Arabidopsis thaliana: one gene and its partners. The protein of the gene in region 3 interacts with the protein of the main gene of each other region in a pairwise test. Each region holds a gene or a part of one and is shown on either strand. Other genes may lie near its edges. The genes, in order: HB-2, AT1G72210, SWC2 and MYB70.

Region 1 (4,842 bases), on a different chromosome or scaffold from region 3:
GTGATAAGAGTTTTGAACTCGTTTTGTGTCAAATGTTCCGGTCTCCAATATGTAAAAGTGGAAGGTTTCTCATGCTTCTCTTTTGTTTGTTCCAATCTTCTTCCTAGTATTGCCATGGAAAACATCAACCATATCGTCAAAATGACCCGTTAAATAACTAAATATTGTAAAAACTATTTTTAAGTTTTCCTTTCATTTCATGGTAACAAATATATATTTTCCAGTTATTTCTGTTTAAAGAAAGTTTCATTTGAGATCTGATTGGTGGGAAATAGAAGAAAAAAAACTCAATCTGATTTTAAACCTTTAAAAGCATAATTCGGTTGATTTTTATTTTATTTTATTCTGATTGATAGAAACTGGAAAGTAAGATGAATTGGACATTAAAAAAAAAAAAAATCCCTTTAAATTTGAGCTAATTATAGCAACTAGTCAGATCCTTCTTTTTTTTCTTTGAACAGAAAAAGAATCGCCAAAAAAAGAAAAAGATGTACTTATTTAGCGAAAATATTTTTCGTAGTAAAAAAACTTCTTTCAATATCTTTGCTTGAATGTGACCATTTCTATTGCACATACAAAAAAACGACTATAAAAAGGACCCACAGTGATTATGAAAATCAGATTGACGAAAAGTTTGTGTGTCTGATTCCAATCATATTGATCCAATTCATTCATCATATTCGATGGTTGTCAAAGCATATAGCTGGATTAAGTGGGGCACAACACTGAAAACGTTTCTCAACCGTATGATGTCATTTCAGCCTTTGGTTTTCTCAACGTTTAATCGGTGACCGTCAATTTCTTTTCAATCTCTATAATCATTTCTTCTTTTGGCGTGTCACTGGGACCTTCACTGTCAATGCTGAATTAATCTCCTTTAAGGATTTGAAGGCAAGAAAAATCTTGTTGCAACTAATAAAAGGAATCGATTTTGATGCTCATTAATCGACCTTTATGACCAAAATGGGTCTATATGAAATAATTATATGATTTGACAAGTAACCATTTGATTTACAAATTATTCAACGATTTAGCATTACAAAAACATCTAACCATGCTTAATGTATGATGTTATTCATTTTAAAAAGTCGAATGAAACCCATGTTTATCTCAATGCATGATTTAATAATTTTATTATACATGCACATAATTCTACATTTTTAATTAATTTTATTAGTTTAATAATAATAATTAATTTTCTTTTTTTACACTTGTTATAGGTGAGAAATGAAAGTTATCATAATACAAAACATCAGTTTTTATAAAACCAAATAAAACTCAAAAATCATTCAGACAAATAAGTTTATGGACTTATGGTATATGATGATACTCTCTCAACATCCTCATTAACATCATCACTATTAAGTTAACAAAAAGAAAAAGAAAACATCATTATAAGTTATTAATAAGTTTAAATAGTAGTATTTTATATTCTGGTACAATGTACTGTTTTTGGTCATTAAGTGGTTCAACGACAAAAGTAAAACTCATGCGGTCGACCCATGCGTTAGAAGAAGAAAATCTGAAAAGAAGTTTGAATTCTTTAATTTTTTCATAAAAAGAAGTTTGAATTCAATTCAACCGTTTTTGTTTAGTTCTTCTTTAATTAACTTTATCACTAATGTTTAAAAGTAAAAGGTTTTTAAAGTGTGCAACAAGCGTGACTCTTTGGCCTTTAGAGTCATCAAGAAGGGTAATCATTTTTTTTACTCTTTCTCGACAATAGCAATCAAATTATCATTCCCACTTTTAATAATCTCATAAAATAAAGTCAATCATAGTTAAAATTTGATAAATTCCATGGAAATGATAAAAATTTGATTTTACTATTGTTGGATGTGCAATTGTTCATGGTAACTTACTAATTTATATGCTTTATTAGTTGCAGATAGTGATATATATCGAAAAATGAAAGATCTAATTCCAATAATTGTCAAAGAGGATTTCTAAATTTCTGTTTGACTAGGTCATATATTCTCACGACTCAACGATCTAACCAATCACCTACAACAGAAAATTTGGTTGAAATAAAACGAAAAGTGATAAGTCCAAATGTTTAAAACAAAAAAAAAGTAAACAAAAGGCAAAATAAGATAACTACGATTAGATTTTGTTCTCGCCTTATGAATATCCTAAAAATTATCTATTAGTGATAGTTTGATAATCATCTTTGACTGAGAAAATTGATGTCACATAAACATTAATATAGTATCAACATTAATCATTAATGATGCGACTATAATTATTATTTTATCACAATTTCTTAGATTTGATAATTTGTTTAGGTTTGAGAGAGTTATATAGAGGGGGACAAAGAAGCAAAGTTTGTGATTATAAAATTATTTCCATTGAACTAAAGTTTTCAATAGTTTATTCTTGACTTTAATAATAATAACTATTTTGCCCCCAGCTAGTCACATACTCATGATTGCAAAATCTCTCTCTCTCTCTGCCTCTCTATATATTAACCTTTCTTCTTCCTTTACTTTCTCATCTTCTATCTCTCAAAAGAAAAGCAGACAACTTTATTTGCAAAAACAGAGTTTTTTTTTCTTATCTTGAGAAAGTTCAACAGAAGATGATGTTCGAGAAAGACGATCTGGGTCTAAGCTTAGGCTTGAATTTTCCAAAGAAACAGATCAATCTCAAATCAAATCCATCTGTTTCTGTTACTCCTTCTTCTTCTTCTTTTGGATTATTCAGAAGATCTTCATGGAACGAGAGTTTTACTTCTTCAGGTACTTCATCGCTTTCTTCGTTCCTCTGTTTTTTTTTATTTTTCCCCGGAAAAAACCTTAAAGGTCTCACCTTTTACTCTACTTTTCAATCTTATGCATGCAGTTCCAAACTCAGATTCGTCACAAAAAGAAACAAGAACTTTCATCCGAGGAATCGACGTGAACAGACCACCGTCTACAGCGGAATACGGCGACGAAGACGCTGGAGTATCTTCACCTAACAGTACAGTCTCAAGCTCTACAGGGAAAAGAAGCGAGAGAGAAGAAGACACAGATCCACAAGGCTCAAGAGGAATCAGTGACGATGAAGATGGTGATAACTCCAGGAAAAAGCTTAGACTTTCCAAAGATCAATCTGCTATTCTTGAAGAGACCTTCAAAGATCACAGTACTCTCAATCCGGTAATTTTTTTCTTCTTTTACTTATTGTTTCACCCGAGAAAGTTTGGTTTTACTGGGAAAATTAATGGCTATGATAAATTGTGGAAACGAAAAAAGAACGCGTTAATGAAATATTCACATTAAAATGACTATTGTTACATGTTGACCAAAGAAAAAACATTACTACTACTATTTGTTTCGGTCTCTCATAAATGCAGATATTAATTTATAAATGGCATTTTGGTAAATGTAGACTGATATCAAGGTTTTTTTCAACTTTTTTTCACAGAAGCAGAAGCAAGCATTGGCTAAACAATTAGGGTTACGAGCAAGACAAGTGGAAGTTTGGTTTCAGAACAGACGAGCAAGGTAAATAAAACACACACAAACAAAAGATCTCTCTATTTGCCTGATTTATCTATTTTCTTATAAGGGTATTTTGGTAAATGTTTAACAGAACAAAGCTGAAGCAAACGGAGGTAGACTGCGAGTTCTTACGGAGATGCTGCGAGAATCTAACGGAAGAGAACCGTCGGCTACAAAAAGAAGTAACGGAATTGAGAGCACTTAAGCTCTCTCCTCAGTTCTACATGCACATGAGCCCACCCACTACTTTGACCATGTGCCCTTCATGTGAACACGTGTCGGTCCCGCCACCACAACCTCAGGCTGCTACGTCAGCGCACCACCGGTCGTTGCCGGTCAATGCGTGGGCTCCTGCGACGAGGATATCTCACGGCTTGACTTTTGACGCTCTTCGTCCTAGGTCCTAAGTCTTTTTACTTGCAACCAAAGGGCATTTTGGTCGTTTTTTAAGTTTCATGGACCAGATATGCATGTAGTTGTTAACATGTATGTATTTTCTTAGAAAGAAAGAAAAACAGATTAATATTTTTCTAGCTTAAACCAACATATATGTGTCATGCTAACAAGTAACAACAAATATTTAGAGCCAATGCTATCAGATATTATGACTTTGAAATCATTTTGTTTTGTTTTGTTGCAATAAATATTTTGGACAAAACTATCACAAGAAACTTTATTGCAATAATATTTATAGTGTCTAGCGAGTAGCCACAAACCAAGAAGTACAATTGATGTAGGAAATGCAAAAGAAAATTAAATGGTCCAAATTGTTTCATGTGGCTATGTGAAAAATATTAAATAGTGGGCTAAAAATAGTTGAAATTTCTAAAAGTTTTTCCAGGATTTTTTTTTTTTTTTTTTTTGTTAAACTTAAAAACTTAAAACTTATACTTTGGGCCCAAGTGTTCCTGGCATTACCATTACAACTATAAGTGAGAAAGAGATTACCATATGTCATACATGAGTATGGGCAAAGTTTAGGCCTTATTGAACATGTAGGTTAGGCTATGGGCCACTTCTTGGGTTTGAAAGGTTAACGCAAGTGCTTATCCCCACTACATGTTAAATTTAAAACTCTGATTTTTCAATGGTGTTGAATTGGACTGCTCTGAGATGTTGAAAATGCTAGATGATCAATAGGATTGGATACGTTTAACGTATTTAGGATATACTAGGCCATGAAGTAGTAATATTTGTACTAATTGTCTTGCTAAAAAGGTAAGAGCATGAGGGTTCATGTTTTCCTATGTAAGCAGCTTGGTGTCGGATTTACTCTCTTTGGAGAGTAGCCTCTTCTCATCGGAGCATTGATCTATAACGTTTTAGCCGCAAAGAACAAAAACCCCGAAAAAGATGA
Region 2 (5,747 bases), on a different chromosome or scaffold from region 3:
TTTAGAAGGAGATCCAATTATCTGAAAATACTATTGTAACATGTTTCTTCTTTATTATTGTTGAATCATTGACATTCTTTTTGTTTTCAAACTAACTTTGCACTAATTCTTGTAACAATCTCTATGTTTGATCAATTATAACTTCGGCGATCCTTGAAAAAAATATCTAAATTATTTAGCTAGGAGCCTAGGACTATATATTATTTTTGCCTACTATAGTACTACTTGGATGGTTTTGAAATTATGGTATCTTTTTATGTCGCAAATAAAAACTAGAGGTACACGGACTTAAAGGAGACAAGAGTATCATAGCCTTAGATTTATTTTCCACCGTGTTTCTAAATAGTGGGATTCTTTCGAGTTTCGATCAAATGATTTTTCGCTTAGATTTCGTTTTGCATCACATATTTAAGTTGTTGCTTCCCTCTATTGGTTAAAGCGACCAAACAACTTTGTTACACAGCAACCCTAAGTCGTGTCATAGCCATCTAATTCTCACATCTTCTATACCGCATAAAAGTTCGATAATTATTAATTAGACTAATGGAAAGATGCCACCTAGTTAATATACAAATTAAGTTGGGATATCGTCTCTTATTCTTACATATGTCAACATCAAGAATACTTTGTTTTAAGCATGACATGATTACATTAATAAAGCATTACCCCACACGCCGAAATGTTATTCTTATTTTTATCCGTGAATTTTTTCTATGATCAAATTTGTCCGTCTAAGTGGATTGAATGCAAATGTGAGTGTTTAATTCCCATCATCAGTTGGAAGATCAGGGATTCTTTTTGTACAAGATTGGAAGATCAGGTTTTTGAGTTGAATATGGTTTGATCATCATCATTTTACGAACATTCGAAACTTGCATAGTCGAGTAATTTTTATCTCTCAATTTCTGTTTCTTAATCAATATCCACGTAAGTTTTTTTTTTTTTTTTTTTTAAACAGTTGTTTTTAAGTATCAAAGACATGGGAACCAGACAGTTGAAAATATATTTTTAAGACAAATTTACATATTTTAAATGTCTTCTAATCTTAATATTTTAAATGTTTTCTAATATTATCTTGTTTTAAAAAAAGAACACATATTTTCAAATTATATGATATTGTTGTTACTATTATTTCTTTTTTTACTATAAATTTTGTGACAATATATATATATATATATATATATATTAACCATTTTTCGGCGGTATAAAATAGTTTACCACCGAGTAATTGCATTCAATCGCACGACCAACAAGTTATAGTATTATTCACTTTGCCCCAAACTAAAAGTTTATTTTAGAAAATTCATTAACAGTAAATTTCATTTCCTTCAAAATACATTTTTGTTCTGTTTTTATTTATTTATTTAATATATTAACATTTATCATGTATGATGATTGATGAAGATGATTTTCTCAACATTTCTCTCCTTTTTTTTTTGTCTCTCAACATTTCTCTCCTATATAAAATTTAAACTATTGAACGAATGTTACTGCTACGAAATTATAATATTTACTCTAAGTTGTCATCAGGATTCTATTACTTTAAAAGCCAAAATTTACTAATCAAAAACTAGTTGATAGATTGTAAAATTAATTAAGCACATTTATTGATTTAAAATTTATTTTTTACTCTACAAATCGTGATTTCCAAGAGTTGTATCTATATAAAGGCAATATGCTTTCGGACCCATGCATGGTCTTGATGTTTTTTTACGGTTATTCCATTACGGGTAGGGTTATGTGATAAACGATATGATTTCATATAAAAAGAATAAATCAGCGGTCATTGTCTCCGCATGGTTCGGGGAAAAAATACTCGTATAAATAAGCCTTTAGATTTCGAATTTATAAAGCTTTGACGTCGGCTGATACATAGAAACAAAAAAAAACTTTGATGTCAAGCTCTCTTTCCTCTTCCTGTCCATCAATACGCGTTACACACGCACAATAGAAGCAAATTATTGTTTGAATACCTAAAAGAGGATAGACGACATAATTATCACCGCAAACACTCTAAATTTTGGGATATAGCTTTCATTAGATTACATTTTGACTCACATGGTATACGGCAAAAAAATATTAAATTCATGGCAACGTATAAAGTTGATATTTCAACATGTTATAATTTCTCTCTCTTCGAACATGAGTGTAACAAGACGAACCCCAAAGCCTGCAAAAACACACAGAATCTTTTCTTTGGTTTTGTGGACCGGTCTACAATCTCACGTGCAAAACCAAACATACACGATCTCTCTCTCTCTATATCTCTACTTTTTCTGAACTCAGTTGGTTTCGATTTTCTTCGGACCTTCTATTGTTAAATCAGCTTTATAACCTCACAAGCTTCTCCTCTATTCCATAGATCAAACCACAACTTTGTTTGACCTTTTTTTGAGTACTTCTCTTGTCTTTTCTTCTTCAAGTTTACTTAGTTCTTTGAGAACAAATTTCTGTTGATTTTTTTTCTTTCTTGTAGAGGGATAATTACAAGTTTAATTTCCCTAGAGTGTCTTTACCTTTTGCCTTGTCTCCCTCTCGAGACAAAAAGAGAAAGAGAAACACTTTCTGTCCTCTTTTTTTTTCCTCTCTTTTTCTCTCTCGCTGGAAACCTTTTCATATTCAAGTGTAATTTTAATATTTCAAGCAATTTTCTAGCTAATTATGGCCTTGGAGGCTGTAGTTTACCCGCAAGATCCGTTCTCCTACATCTCTTGCAAAGATTTTCCGTTTTACGACTTATACTTTCAAGAAGAAGAAGATCAAGATCCACAAGATACTAAGAACAACATTAAGCTAGGGCAAGGACAAGGACATGGTTTTGCGAGTAATAATTACAACGGTAGAACCGGAGATTATAGTGATGATTATAATTACAACGAAGAGGATCTCCAATGGCCACGAGACCTTCCTTATGGATCTGCCGTCGACACCGAGAGCCAGCCTCCACCGTCGGATGTGGCGGCGGGAGGAGGGAGGAGGAAAAGGAGGAGGACGAGGAGTAGCAAGAACAAAGAAGAGATCGAGAACCAGAGGATGACTCACATCGCCGTTGAAAGAAATCGCCGGAAACAGATGAACGAGTACCTCGCCGTTCTCCGGTCTCTCATGCCACCTTATTATGCTCAAAGGGTTAGTCTCTACATACAACAGTTATATGTATATGTGAGTGTGAGCGCGTGAAATATTCAGTCCTTTAGCTGTATTTCTTGACGTGTCAAAAAAAAAAAAAAAAAGCAAAGCCTATGTTCTAGGCTTTCAGCTAATTAGGACATGCATAGGCTATACATAGATATGTCATATGCATGTATGTTTATATGTTTTGAAATATAAATTTGAGAATGATGATAGATGAATGAAAGCCGTTATATATATTGACAAAAAATAAAAACTAAACGAAAGTCGTTATTTCTTTTTTTCATAATTTTATTAGATCATGTAGTCTCTAAATGAAAATTTTGTTAGTGGAATTGTGGGAGCATAAATAAAGTCTTGAACATCATTGCACCCAAAAAGGACTATACATATTATAGATTTATAATGAGATGGTGACATAATATATTTTTTAAAAAATTAAGGTACGAAATATAGACATGTTTGATTGTTTTTGCAAAACCTTTTGCAATTTCTATGTGCTAGACTAACATAAGGTTGGTGGTGGTTAAAGGGAGATCAAGCATCGATAGTAGGCGGAGCCATTAACTACTTAAAGGAGCTTGAGCATCATTTACAATCAATGGAACCTCCGGTTAAGACCGCCACAGAAGACACCGGAGCCGGCCACGACCAGACCAAAACAACCTCGGCTAGTTCGTCGGGACCATTCTCGGATTTCTTTGCATTTCCTCAGTACTCGAACCGGCCTACCTCTGCGGCGGCGGCTGAGGGGATGGCGGAGATAGAGGTAACGATGGTAGAGAGCCATGCGAGTCTGAAAATACTTGCGAAAAAGAGACCGAGACAGCTTCTTAAACTGGTCTCATCGATACAGAGCCTAAGGCTCACTCTTCTCCATCTAAACGTCACAACTCGAGACGACTCCGTCCTCTATTCCATCAGCGTCAAGGTACATTTTTTTCTCTCTTTTTCACCATTTTTTGTTTTTTTTTTCCTAACCAGATTAGAGTGATCATGTTATATAATACCGTTGTTTAGGGTTAGTGGGTTGAATTTGCAAATTCAAATTAAATTGGTATCTAATAATTAATGGGTGACTAATCATTACTCCCATTGTTGGTTTTGGTTCAATGATTATTCATTGATTGTTTTTCCAATCACAAATGTTTTGTGCATTTAATGTGTCTCTTATTAGTACATGTTGTGAATTATTTGTCTGGGCCAAAAAAGGTTTTCCAAGAACAAAAATAAAAATCGTTCCTTTTTTCTCGTTCTTTTTTACTTGGTTAGGGCTGGCCTCAATTATTGGGGGGTCAAAATCATCATTTCTTATTTATTAAAAAAGACAAAATTTTGAGTACTATCATAATATTGATTCTTGTAAGAATCAGGGACCAAAAAGATGACATATGCCTACACATGTGTGAATGTGTGTATATATATATGTGTACTGGGCATGTTTGGTGGTCACAACACTGTGGATGCACTGTGCACGGCAGAACGAAATGACGCCACTTGTTTCAGGACACATTCATAAGCTTCTTCCTCGAAATATAAACATTTTCTTTAATCATCTTTTTACCTTTTCAATGACTATATATCAATCTTTTTCATGTAACTTAAAAGAAAATATTAAAATAATGGGTTTATTCAGGTTGAAGAAGGGAGCCAATTGAATACAGTAGAAGATATTGCAGCAGCTGTGAATCAAATCCTAAGGAGGATCGAAGAAGAGTCATCCTTTAGCTAGTATTGTTGAATTTTAGTTATGGCACATTTAGAGGAGCTCTAATTTTTCATGTGTGATCTTTTGCTCTCTCTTTTTCATATATTAAATAATATAAATTTCCTTTTTCTTTTTGTTAACGTTAATTCTAATGCATTATATATTGGAGTTTTTGTGTGATTGACCTTTTAGACCTGATCACAAAAGAGGAACTAGCTTTTAAGAGCTCTATACGAGAATAGTAATTATAAGCTTGAGCAATTGAATTTTCCCACACATAAAAAAAAGGCTTGAACAATTTGACTGGTTATGAGATAGCTGAAAAAAATTCAACCACACTTATATAAATATACCGGTATGAGTCATGTGAAGGCGTCCCTAAAAGACTCGGTATATCGTGAATAACCGGCTTTGCACGGTTCGTTTAAGAAGGAATTAGTTAGAATAGTATATTTTGTGAAGTAATGTCTAAATATGCGCTAATTAAGAAAAAAGTTTGATGAGACTCTCATGGTCTGAATCAGATGTTTTGAACACCCATGACATCTAAGACACCCGCAAAGGGCCACATATACGATCGTAAATAATAATCTAGTCTGGGGTCGGAGAACACTTAAGTTCTAATCGGAGAGACTTTTCAGACTCAATCCACCACTAGTTTTTGGGTAAGCAAACATAGTTTAAAACTATATTTGCACATTCGCAAAAGGGAGATCCCTTTCCAAAGAAACACATTGAAAATTCTCTTTAGCTTATTCATAATTATTATTCTGAGAATATATTAAAAGAATGAATGTGATATGTATATGCTTTCTCATGAAAAAATGACTTCAACCTTTCTCATGATTGTTTACTGAACGAATGGGTTGAATTCGCTTTAACGATAATTCTACTTTGACATTTTCTG
Region 3 (6,234 bases):
TGTACTGTGAACCACTTAGTGTGTTTTGTAACTATTACGAATAATAAGCCAATTTCCTTTTGTTCTTTCTTACATCACATCTTAATATATGTAGGCACAGAGAAACACACACATTATCGGAACCAAAGCAAAAAAAATAAACCTTAGAAGAGAGTTCCTCATGGCATCGGAATTTCGTCCTCCTCTTCATTTTGTTCTCTTCCCTTTCATGGCTCAAGGCCACATGATCCCAATGGTAGATATTGCAAGGCTCCTGGCTCAGCGCGGGGTGACTATAACCATTGTCACTACACCTCAAAACGCAGGCCGGTTCAAGAACGTTCTTAGCCGGGCTATCCAATCCGGCTTGCCCATCAATCTCGTGCAAGTAAAGTTTCCATCTCAAGAATCGGGTTCACCGGAAGGACAGGAGAATTTGGACTTGCTCGATTCATTGGGGGCTTCATTAACCTTCTTCAAAGCATTTAGCCTGCTCGAGGAACCAGTCGAGAAGCTCTTGAAAGAGATTCAACCTAGGCCAAACTGCATAATCGCTGACATGTGTTTGCCTTATACAAACAGAATTGCCAAGAATCTTGGTATACCAAAAATCATCTTTCATGGCATGTGTTGCTTCAATCTTCTTTGTACGCACATAATGCACCAAAACCACGAGTTCTTGGAAACTATAGAGTCTGACAAGGAATACTTCCCCATTCCTAATTTCCCTGACAGAGTTGAGTTCACAAAATCTCAGCTTCCAATGGTATTAGTTGCTGGAGATTGGAAAGACTTCCTTGACGGAATGACAGAAGGGGATAACACTTCTTATGGTGTGATTGTTAACACGTTTGAAGAGCTCGAGCCAGCTTATGTTAGAGACTACAAGAAGGTTAAAGCGGGTAAGATATGGAGCATCGGACCGGTTTCCTTGTGCAACAAGTTAGGAGAAGACCAAGCTGAGAGGGGAAACAAGGCGGACATTGATCAAGACGAGTGTATTAAATGGCTTGATTCTAAAGAAGAAGGGTCGGTGCTATATGTTTGCCTTGGAAGTATATGCAATCTTCCTCTGTCTCAGCTCAAAGAGCTCGGCTTAGGCCTCGAGGAATCCCAAAGACCTTTCATTTGGGTCATAAGAGGTTGGGAGAAGTATAACGAGTTACTTGAATGGATCTCAGAGAGCGGTTATAAGGAAAGAATCAAAGAAAGAGGCCTTCTCATAACAGGATGGTCGCCTCAAATGCTTATCCTTACACATCCTGCCGTTGGAGGATTCTTGACACATTGTGGATGGAACTCTACTCTTGAAGGAATCACTTCAGGCGTTCCATTACTCACGTGGCCACTGTTTGGAGACCAATTCTGCAATGAGAAATTGGCGGTGCAGATACTAAAAGCCGGTGTGAGAGCTGGGGTTGAAGAGTCCATGAGATGGGGAGAAGAGGAGAAAATAGGAGTACTGGTGGATAAAGAAGGAGTAAAGAAGGCAGTGGAGGAATTGATGGGTGATAGTAATGATGCTAAGGAGAGAAGAAAAAGAGTGAAAGAGCTTGGAGAATTAGCTCACAAGGCTGTGGAAGAAGGAGGCTCTTCTCATTCCAACATCACATTCTTGCTACAAGACATAATGCAATTAGAACAACCCAAGAAATGATTGTAACTTTTCTTAGATTGTAACTTTTCTTTTGTATTACCCAAAAAAAATGATTGTGACGTTTGTTCTCGATTACTTCTCTTTGTTCAAGAACAATTTATGATAGTTTTATTTGAAATTGTCTCTATTATCGAATCTTATACTAACATCTTAGTTAGTACATACTTATTAAGCATTCGAATTCGTACACTCAAATTGAAGAAAAAAACACAATTTCTTATATACTTTTTTTTTTTCTGTAGCTTTAGAAGAGTGTAGAAACCTTCTCCAGTGGTCCTGCATGAGATCGCAACTTCGATATTGCTTGCTCCTTGGAGTTTAGAGGAGTGTAGAAACACTTTTTGTTTGTTTACTTTTGCTTTCTCGATCATGACAAGTTGACAACTCGTGTTATATCCAAAATGACATCATGCATGACTTGAAAATTGAAATCTATCTATGATATTACCATTTCTGGACAATTTTGTTAACCGATTTATATATCTTAACATCTTTCTTTTTTGGTATTATTTACGTTACGATTTTTCATCGTAAATTTAATTTAAAATTTTATATATGCCAGTGTAAAAAGAAATTACTCAAGGTCATTAATAAAAATAAAAATAAAACGTTTTTCCCCAGCGGTCTATCATTGTAAGTTTTATTTTACAAAAAGAATCTTCTAATATAATATGGGCTTTGAAAATGTCTAAGTGGAAGGCCCATTAATATCTCAAGTCCAATAACAATGGTGTACGAACCAGCGGCACCGTGTGTGAAAGAGTGAATCAAAGAGGTGCGGCGGTCGCCGGCGAAGACGTGTGCTCGTCGAAGAAACTTCTCCAACCTAAAATTTTCCGAAGGTAACTCCTCGAGCGAGATTTTAAGCTCATCACACAAATTACTTTTCATTCTCGCTTTCATGGGCTCTTCTTCGATTACTGTGTACATCACTCAAATTTTGGGTTTTTGTTCCTGTTTCCCTCTCGATATAATCGTAAAGTCTTGAAATTGCGAGAAACCCTAATTTGGGGGTTCCTTGCTGATTTGTTAATTTGTGTGTTATGACATTTTCGTTTAAATTTGTGAACTTGTAGAAGTAAGAGTTGAGCAAGTTATCAATGGAAATCGATGAAGAAGAGCCAATGGTGTTCTTGGACCGTACAACAAGAGCAACACGGGGTAAACGGTAAGAATTACTTGAGCTTAAGCTTTTACCTGATGAATGTGTTTCACCTGAAGATTGTGGTTTTGTCTCACTGTTATTGAGATGTATCAGAAACTCTCTTGTGGAAGCTTTATTCATCAGTTTTCTGTTTTTTTTCAGGATGACCAAGTTGCTTGATGACGAAGTAGAAGAAGATGAACAGTTTTGGAATCAAGAAGCTCTTAAAGAGGTTTGTTTTGTTTTATATATAGCTTACTCTCTTAAAGAGATGTTAATGATTTGTTAAGGTAGACTAGATGTCAAAATATATAATGGAAAAAAATCAGATTTGTAGACAAGATACTATCGCAGAAACTTTCGTGTGTTTGCTGACATTTATGTATCTCTTTACTTTTGTTATCTGCAGGAAGAACATGATGATGAATATGAAGCAGAACGTGAGGTTGCTGATGAGTTTGACAGTGACTTCAATGACGATGTATTTATGTCTTGCTTATGTATTGAGTACTTATTCATCAAGGTTTTTGCTTATATTTCCATTCTTTTTAATTTCTTTCTTTTGCCTTTTGTTTGGGATTAGGAGCCTGAGCCTGATGCAGTCGCTGTAAATGAAAAAGAATTGAGGTTTGAATTTTTTCAAAGCTTGTCTTATGATGGCTATTATGTGTGTCTGTTTTAATTTTGTTACAATTTTGCATATTGTTGTAGGGATCTGCCAAAGAAGCGGCTGATTTACCCTGGGAAAACTGCTTCAAAGAAAAAGAAAAAGAAGACGAAGGTAGTTTCACAACTAGAATATATTCCTGGAGATGAGAAGCCAGGTGAAGAATTGGGAAACAAGGAACAAGAAGAAAAAGAAGAGAATGAAGCACAAGAAGATATGGAAGGTGAGAAAGTCATTAGGAAATCAACACGGACTTCAGTGGTTGTACGGCAAGCAGAAAGAGATGCATTGCGTGCTGCTATACAAGCAACAACAAAGGTTTCTCAGAACTCATCCCCACTAGCTATTTACATTCATGGCTACACTTTAATCTCTTTTCTAAGTCTTGCCATGTTGAATTCTTTTTTGTGTTTGTTCAGCCAATACAAAGGAAAAAAGTAGGGGAGGAAAAACGGATGACCCAAGAAGAAATGCTGCTGGAAGCTGCTCAAACAGGTTTGGCTTTTATGATGCTGCATCTGATTTGCTCTATCAGAAACTCAAAATTGCTAAAGTCAGGTTCTTGCAGAAATCATGAACTTGAGGAATTTAGAACGTGTCTTGGCAAGGGAAGAAGAAGTAAAAAAGAAAGCGATTGTGCATAAAGCAGTCTACAAGGGTCCTCAGATTCGGTATCATTCAAAAGATGGTAAGCTCTCCAGTAAAATAGTAATCCAGTCTAATTGGATCTTTCCAGAAAAGTAAGAACTATATTTGTTTAAACTTTTAACTTTACATGCAGGATGTAACTATTTAGAATTCTGTAATGGTGCGTCATTCAATTCAGAGTTGTCGACGAAGTCTGTTCCCTGTAAGTAATTTTGAGTGGTGTTTGGAGATGAACATAAATGTGTTCATATTGATCTATACTGATCTCTGTCTTTCTTTTGGTTTGTTTTCTCTTTTCCAGATCCAGAAAAAGCTGTATGTGTGATTACGGGATTACCTGCCAAGTAAGAGTTTTTCTGTTCTTCTTCTTTATTCATCGGAAGAACAAGATCTCTGGGATGAACACAAGTAGACTCTCTTAGGTCTACTAAAAAGAAGTTATCAGTTTCTTTGATATATACTTCTCGAAAAGAAATGATGTTATAACCTAGAAACCTGATTATCTTTTCTCTGCAATTTTAGAACTAGTTCTTAGCTGTTGTGTGTATTGCTGATACAGGTACCGGGATCCAAAAACGGGTCTTCCTTATGCAACTAGAGACGCCTTCAAAGCAATACGTGAAAGGTGTTGCTTGATCCAATTATTGCTGCATCGATGTTTTCACTTGTCTATAGAAGTATTCATCTGTTGTTTCCTCTAACGGATCAAGCAAATGAATGTTATCGAGTGAAACAGGCCTTTGATATTTACATTGTCTTTATTAGTGTTAGAATCTGATATTTCCCAGTCTTATGTTTATTGTTCTGAAGGTTCATGGACGAACATGATGGTTTGAGAAAGAAAATGGAGATGGGAGATTTGTTTGATACACTAGTGGCGAAAGGTTTTGCAACAAAACAAAAGAGAACGAAGATTCCAAAGAGTAACAAATCATTTTCCCTCAGAAGCTCAGCTCGTTTCCTTAGCTCCGAGTCTGAAGAAGAGAGTGAAGAAGATTCAGATTAATAAACACCTCCCTGATTTGGTTAGTATATTAATATAAAGCCTTTAGTTTTCATGAAACATGATCATGAACTCACAGTTGTAATCATGCTCTGCAGAATCTGCATCTCACATGATTGTGATACATCATTCATGGATCTTCCCACGACCATGGTTTTGGTTCTCAGAGATTAGAAGCGAGAAGAACATTCATGGAGGAAATTTTCATGATCAGAGCTTTGAAATGGAAACAACAACACTCTAATCAGAGATTGATCCTCCTAACCAAAACCTCTGACACCCATCTCAGAATCAGAGAGAAAGTGTAATCTTCTGTATATTACTGACCTTGTAAAGATGATATGTTTTGGTTGATAAATATCAATTTCACATTAAACCGAACCGAATAAGCTTTTGATTTTACTTCGGTTCCGTTAAAACCGTTCCAAATCTATAAATATATCACCGATTTGAAAATTGAAACTTTTTGCGATTTCTAAGAGCTCCAATGGCATAATGATTTGGAGTTCAGATTCATGCTTCAAATCCAGGAAACACCAATGTCTTATCTTCCTCAAGCTATGTTCCTCAATTAAACACCTTCTACAGATCCATGGTCAAATCCATCTCTCCTCTCTCCAAAATGACAGCTTTATCATCAGCGAGCTTGTACGGGTTTCATCACTATCCCTCGCCAAAGACCTTGCCTTTGCGCGAACCCTTCTGCTTCACTCTTCAGATTCGACTCCTTCTACTTGGAATATGCTCAGTAGAGGCTATTCTTCAAGTGATTCTCCTGTGGAATCGATTTGGGTTTACTCTGAGATGAAGAGACGAGGAATCAAACCTAATAAGCTCACTTTTCCTTTTCTTCTCAAGGCTTGTGCTTCGTTTTTAGGTCTCACTGCTGGGAGACAGATTCAAGTTGAGGTTTTGAAACATGGGTTTGATTTTGATGTATATGTTGGGAACAATTTGATCCATCTTTATGGTACTTGTAAGAAAACTTCTGATGCCAGGAAGGTGTTCGACGAAATGACTGAGAGAAATGTTGTTTCTTGGAACTCGATTATGACTGCTCTTGTTGAGAATGGTAAGTTAAATTTGGTGTTTGAGTGTTTTTGTGAGATGATTGGTAAGCGGTTTTGTCCAGATGA
Region 4 (4,390 bases), 5.5 Mb from region 3:
CTTAAGAACTCTTTTCGATATCTCTTACCTTATCTAACTATAACTTGAAAGAAGAGAATGAGGAAGCTCACGACAAGGTTCATGTTGGCATTGGAACATGTGCAGGCGACGTTTTTTGTGCGGTACACGGCTGATGTACGGTTTAACGTATTCCTTTGTATATGAGTATCATGTTGACAACAAATAAAACGACAAAGGAAATGAACTTTACTTCAACATAAATCTTTTAGACATGTTAAACTAGCTTATATCAAACAATGAATAGTAACGATAGGCTCTCAAAACTCTAATCGATCTATCCTGTCGTTTTCGATTTACGTAAGAATCTTATTAGTATCTTTTTGAATATCCAAAATAACTGATTTTTGTATATAAAAAGTAGTAATAATATTGGCATACAGGCTGGCTTCTTTAGTCAGAAAAGTCTCTGAAGAATCCAACAAAAAACCTAAACCACTTTTAACGTCATCCTTATCTTCGTTTTATTTTTCTTTTAATCAGAAAATCAAAAACAAAAACAGAAGAAACTGGAATCACTCAATAAGTATGGATACTTTACTTATACGTTTCTAATATGTATAGATACGTCAATTCAATACGCAAAATACAATTTCGAAAAAAGCGACGTTTGTGTTTCAGTGCTTTTAAATTGAAAACAAAATGTGTTTTCACACAACAAAATAAAAAATAAAAATATTCTTAAATTTGTTGTGAAACCAATACAAAATACAACGTTCAAAAAAGAAAAACTAAAACGACACACGACATATATGATTTTATAATTAAAGTCGAAGGAAAACGTAATTTTTTCTAAATCTAATGAAAATACCAACAAAAGTTTTTAAACTTAAATCGAAAGAGACCGAACCCAACAACTAAAATCATAAGCAACTAAACACAAACCCTTTAAAAAACATTAGTCTTCAGAATCAATAAATCCTTTATTTTGAAATAACTACGGATAAAATTTATTAAGTATATGCGATCAAACCAAAGATAACATTAATTACTTTCTATCGATATAAGAAACAGTCCCGTCTCAAGCTATAATTGAGCCTTTGCCAAAATAAAAATAAAAACTAAAATCTCTTAATAAAATTTTGTTTTAAGAAAATTGGGCCTTTTATGCTTATGATTGTTTTTAAAATCAGTAATAGATCCATGGCATTTGCCTAATTTGCCATGGGGTAAAGACGGTCTTGATAAGAGTCAATCTTTCACAACCTAAACTAAAGATTTTATAATCCGACAAATAAAACGACCGAAAAAACTTAAATACGTTTTTAGATACGACAACGATAATTAATGTGCATCTAATTACGTTTAAATAGAAATCTTCAAAAATTCGACCATACCAACACTGATATGCAAAGGAAAAACAAAGAATGTAACCTTCAAAATGCAAAAAGAAAAGATAATTAAAAAAGGAAATAACTTAAAAACGAAATGATTTAAATTAAATAAAAAAACGATCCACCTGTGAAACGCTCTCAAGTACCACAAAATGTACTCTCTCTATCACACACAGTTACATATTTCGTTGACAGCTGTCCCCACTAACAGCTGTTTCCCAAATCCCCAACCGTTTTCTTGGAAAGATTCTCTCTTTATTTTAGCCTCACTCTCTCAGACGCATTTCCCCCAATCGCACCGCCACTCCCTGACGTGCTTTTTTCTTTCTCTTTTAAATATTCAAATACGTATCAGACTACTCACGTTACATCTTCTTCATAACTAATCCAATTTAGAAATTACGCAAAATTACTTAAATATGTAGTTTTTCTAAATAGTTTTACATAACTACAATATATAAGAATTTTTAATTTGAATTTATTTTTTGAAAAAGGTTTGCATTTATAATTTGATGTAATATGATTTGATTTTAGTTTAATATCTTTGTTTAGTTATAGTTAGAAATACAGTACATGTTTAGTTATAATTTAACATTCATTAAAAAAACATTACATAATAATTTGTTTAATAGTATATATTTTAATAAATTTTAGTTTAGAGTTTATTTTGTTTGGTTCAAACTAAATTTCAGTTTTCTGGATTTTAAAATAATAAAACAAAACGGCATATACTTACATATTTAATTTGGTGTCAGTTAACTTATTTCAATTTGATTCAGTTGAAAACATAATTATGCACGTAAATAATCCAATTTACAGTTACGAAAAAATTAAGTTGTTGTTAACTAACGATAAAAAATTACCGGTAGAACCGGTGACCTCTCTAACCATCACACCTCGTATAAATACTCTCTCCTCTTCATACTTATCCTCTCAACAAAAATCGTTTCGTTCTTTTCCAAAATCCCCAAACAATAGAAACGCGTTTTAAACGATTTGATTAGTTTTAAATTAAAAAGAAGATCCGAGCGATGTCTGGTTCGACCCGGAAAGAAATGGATCGGATCAAAGGACCATGGAGTCCTGAAGAAGACGATCTGTTACAATCGTTGGTTCAGAAGCACGGACCAAGGAACTGGTCTCTGATAAGCAAATCAATCCCTGGACGTTCCGGTAAATCTTGCCGTCTCCGTTGGTGTAATCAGCTTTCTCCGGAGGTAGAGCACCGTGGATTCACGGCGGAGGAAGATGATACGATTATACTAGCGCACGCTCGGTTTGGTAACAAGTGGGCGACGATTGCACGGCTTCTCAATGGTCGCACTGATAACGCGATTAAGAATCACTGGAACTCAACGCTGAAGCGGAAATGTAGCGGCGGAGGCGGCGGAGGAGAGGAAGGGCAGAGTTGTGATTTCGGTGGTAATGGAGGGTATGATGGTAATTTAACTGATGAAAAACCGTTAAAACGGAGGGCGAGTGGTGGAGGAGGAGTTGTTGTGGTGACGGCGTTAAGTCCAACGGGATCTGACGTCAGCGAGCAATCGCAATCTAGTGGATCTGTTTTACCGGTTTCTTCTTCTTGTCATGTTTTTAAACCGACGGCGAGAGCTGGTGGAGTGGTGATTGAGTCATCATCGCCGGAGGAGGAGGAGAAAGATCCGATGACTTGTTTGAGGTTGTCTTTGCCTTGGGTCAATGAGTCAACAACTCCACCGGAGTTGTTTCCGGTGAAGAGAGAAGAAGAAGAAGAGAAGGAAAGAGAGATTTCTGGACTTGGTGGAGATTTTATGACGGTGGTGCAGGAGATGATTAAGACGGAGGTTAGGAGTTACATGGCGGATTTACAGCTAGGAAACGGCGGAGGAGCTGGAGGAGGAGCAAGTTCGTGTATGGTGCAAGGAACTAATGGTCGTAATGTAGGGTTTAGAGAGTTTATTGGATTAGGTAGGATCGAGTAGTGAGTGAGAAAAGAGAAGAATTGTGTAGCAAATGCAGAGAAAGAGCCAATTTCATGATTTGAGATTTGATTCATTCGAAAAAAAAACTGAATAAATGTATTGATTTTGATCATGACATGTCTTAGATTTAATGAAATTGGTCTATAAAAGGGTTGATGAGGCTGGTCCTCGAGGTGAATCAATGTTACCTTTTGATAAAGTGAAAGAAGAGCATGAACAAAGTCATTTCCATACAAAGAGGAGTTTACAGCATTCTTGATCTCTCTAGACTGGTCTTGCGATTCGAAGAGTGAAGTAATGAATTCTACTGAACCAAGTGACGATTTCCGTAGTTTGTTACCTTCGGTTACCGACTATAGCATCGCAGTAAAGGTTATAGTGTGAGAGACAACATCATATATAGATATTCAATGAATGATACAGAGTGTAGAACAGATCACCTCAATACAACTAACTGTAGCAGTAAGGCCTCTACCGGGGAAATACTCAAAGCACAAGGGAGGTCCTTCCCAATACTGTGGCTCTGCAAAAAAGAAAGAGTTTGATTGTGTTAATAACTATCAAGCGGTGTAAGATTACTGATGTTTGACAAGCAAATACCTTCCAATAGGATGTATGGTACCTTTCTCCATAGCAGCTGCTACAACTAATGCTTCCTTTTCACAATTTGGCATACAATACAACAAGGAGTCACACTTGCATCAATTCCTGCTTGATGATGTCCATAAATGGGTTCAATTGCTTTGCACGTAAGGCTCCTAATGTTTACCTATATAATGGAGAAGAAATATGCACTAGATATGTGTATAACTTGTTGTCCAAGCCAAATTTCCACAGCTCCATCCGGAACAACATCCTTCAGAAACTATCTAAAGAATTGGTTAACTTCAATTTCCACGGAAATCGCGATTTCTTGGTTAAAGTTGAAGTGGATGTAGCTGTTAAAGAGGTAAGCTTAGGTGATTATCACTCAGAAGAAGGTTAAAGTTAAGTCGCTTCTTTTTGCTTTGTGGATTTGGAGCTTAACTATGTTGTTATTGAAACTCATTAAAAACATGAATATCCAGTTATTCATTC

What was found.
Region 1: the proteins of SWC2 (region 3) and HB-2 interact in a two-hybrid assay, tested with the Arabidopsis thaliana proteins (one large-scale study listed by BioGRID).
Region 2: the proteins of SWC2 (region 3) and AT1G72210 interact in a two-hybrid assay, tested with the Arabidopsis thaliana proteins (one large-scale study listed by BioGRID).
Region 4: the proteins of SWC2 (region 3) and MYB70 interact in a two-hybrid assay, tested with the Arabidopsis thaliana proteins (one large-scale study listed by BioGRID).

Annotation. Positions count from the first base shown.
Region 1 is NC_003075.7:9,446,713-9,451,554, forward strand, and holds HB-2 (homeobox protein 2), read left to right. Parts: upstream 1-2,401; 5' UTR 2,402-2,578; coding exon 2,579-2,738; intron 2,739-2,841; coding exon 2,842-3,140; intron 3,141-3,408; coding exon 3,409-3,488; intron 3,489-3,576; coding exon 3,577-3,892; 3' UTR 3,893-4,193; downstream 4,194-4,842. UniProt on the Arabidopsis thaliana protein: Probable transcription factor involved in the negative regulation of cell elongation and specific cell proliferation processes such as lateral root formation and secondary growth of the vascular system.
Region 2 is NC_003070.9:27,177,405-27,183,151, forward strand, and holds AT1G72210 (basic helix-loop-helix (bHLH) DNA-binding superfamily protein), read left to right. Parts: upstream 1-2,053; 5' UTR 2,054-2,661; coding exon 2,662-3,129; intron 3,130-3,664; coding exon 3,665-4,063; coding exon of another isoform or gene 4,064-4,126; exon of another isoform or gene 4,127-4,768; coding exon 4,769-4,864; 3' UTR 4,865-5,052; downstream 5,053-5,747.
Region 3 is NC_003071.7:15,405,933-15,412,166, reverse strand, and holds SWC2 (DNA binding protein SWC2), read left to right. Parts: upstream 1-2,254; 5' UTR 2,255-2,478; intron 2,479-2,712; 5' UTR 2,713-2,736; coding exon 2,737-2,804; intron 2,805-2,942; coding exon 2,943-3,012; intron 3,013-3,189; coding exon 3,190-3,261; intron 3,262-3,363; coding exon 3,364-3,407; intron 3,408-3,491; coding exon 3,492-3,765; intron 3,766-3,866; coding exon 3,867-3,942; intron 3,943-4,015; coding exon 4,016-4,135; intron 4,136-4,228; coding exon 4,229-4,297; intron 4,298-4,396; coding exon 4,397-4,439; intron 4,440-4,654; coding exon 4,655-4,720; coding exon of another isoform or gene 4,721-4,796; exon of another isoform or gene 4,797-4,905; coding exon 4,906-5,101; 3' UTR 5,102-5,120; intron 5,121-5,196; 3' UTR 5,197-5,545; downstream 5,546-6,234. Other genes in the region: UGT73C1 (UDP-glucosyl transferase 73C1), read left to right, coding at 161-1,636; AT2G36730 (Pentatricopeptide repeat (PPR) superfamily protein), read left to right, coding at 5,594-6,234. UniProt on the Arabidopsis thaliana protein: Component of the SWR1 complex which mediates the ATP-dependent exchange of histone H2A for the H2A variant H2A.F/Z leading to transcriptional regulation of selected genes (e.g. FLC) by chromatin remodeling.
Region 4 is NC_003071.7:9,903,818-9,908,207, reverse strand, and holds MYB70 (myb domain protein 70), read left to right. Parts: upstream 1-2,175; 5' UTR 2,176-2,383; coding exon 2,384-3,313; 3' UTR 3,314-3,702; downstream 3,703-4,390.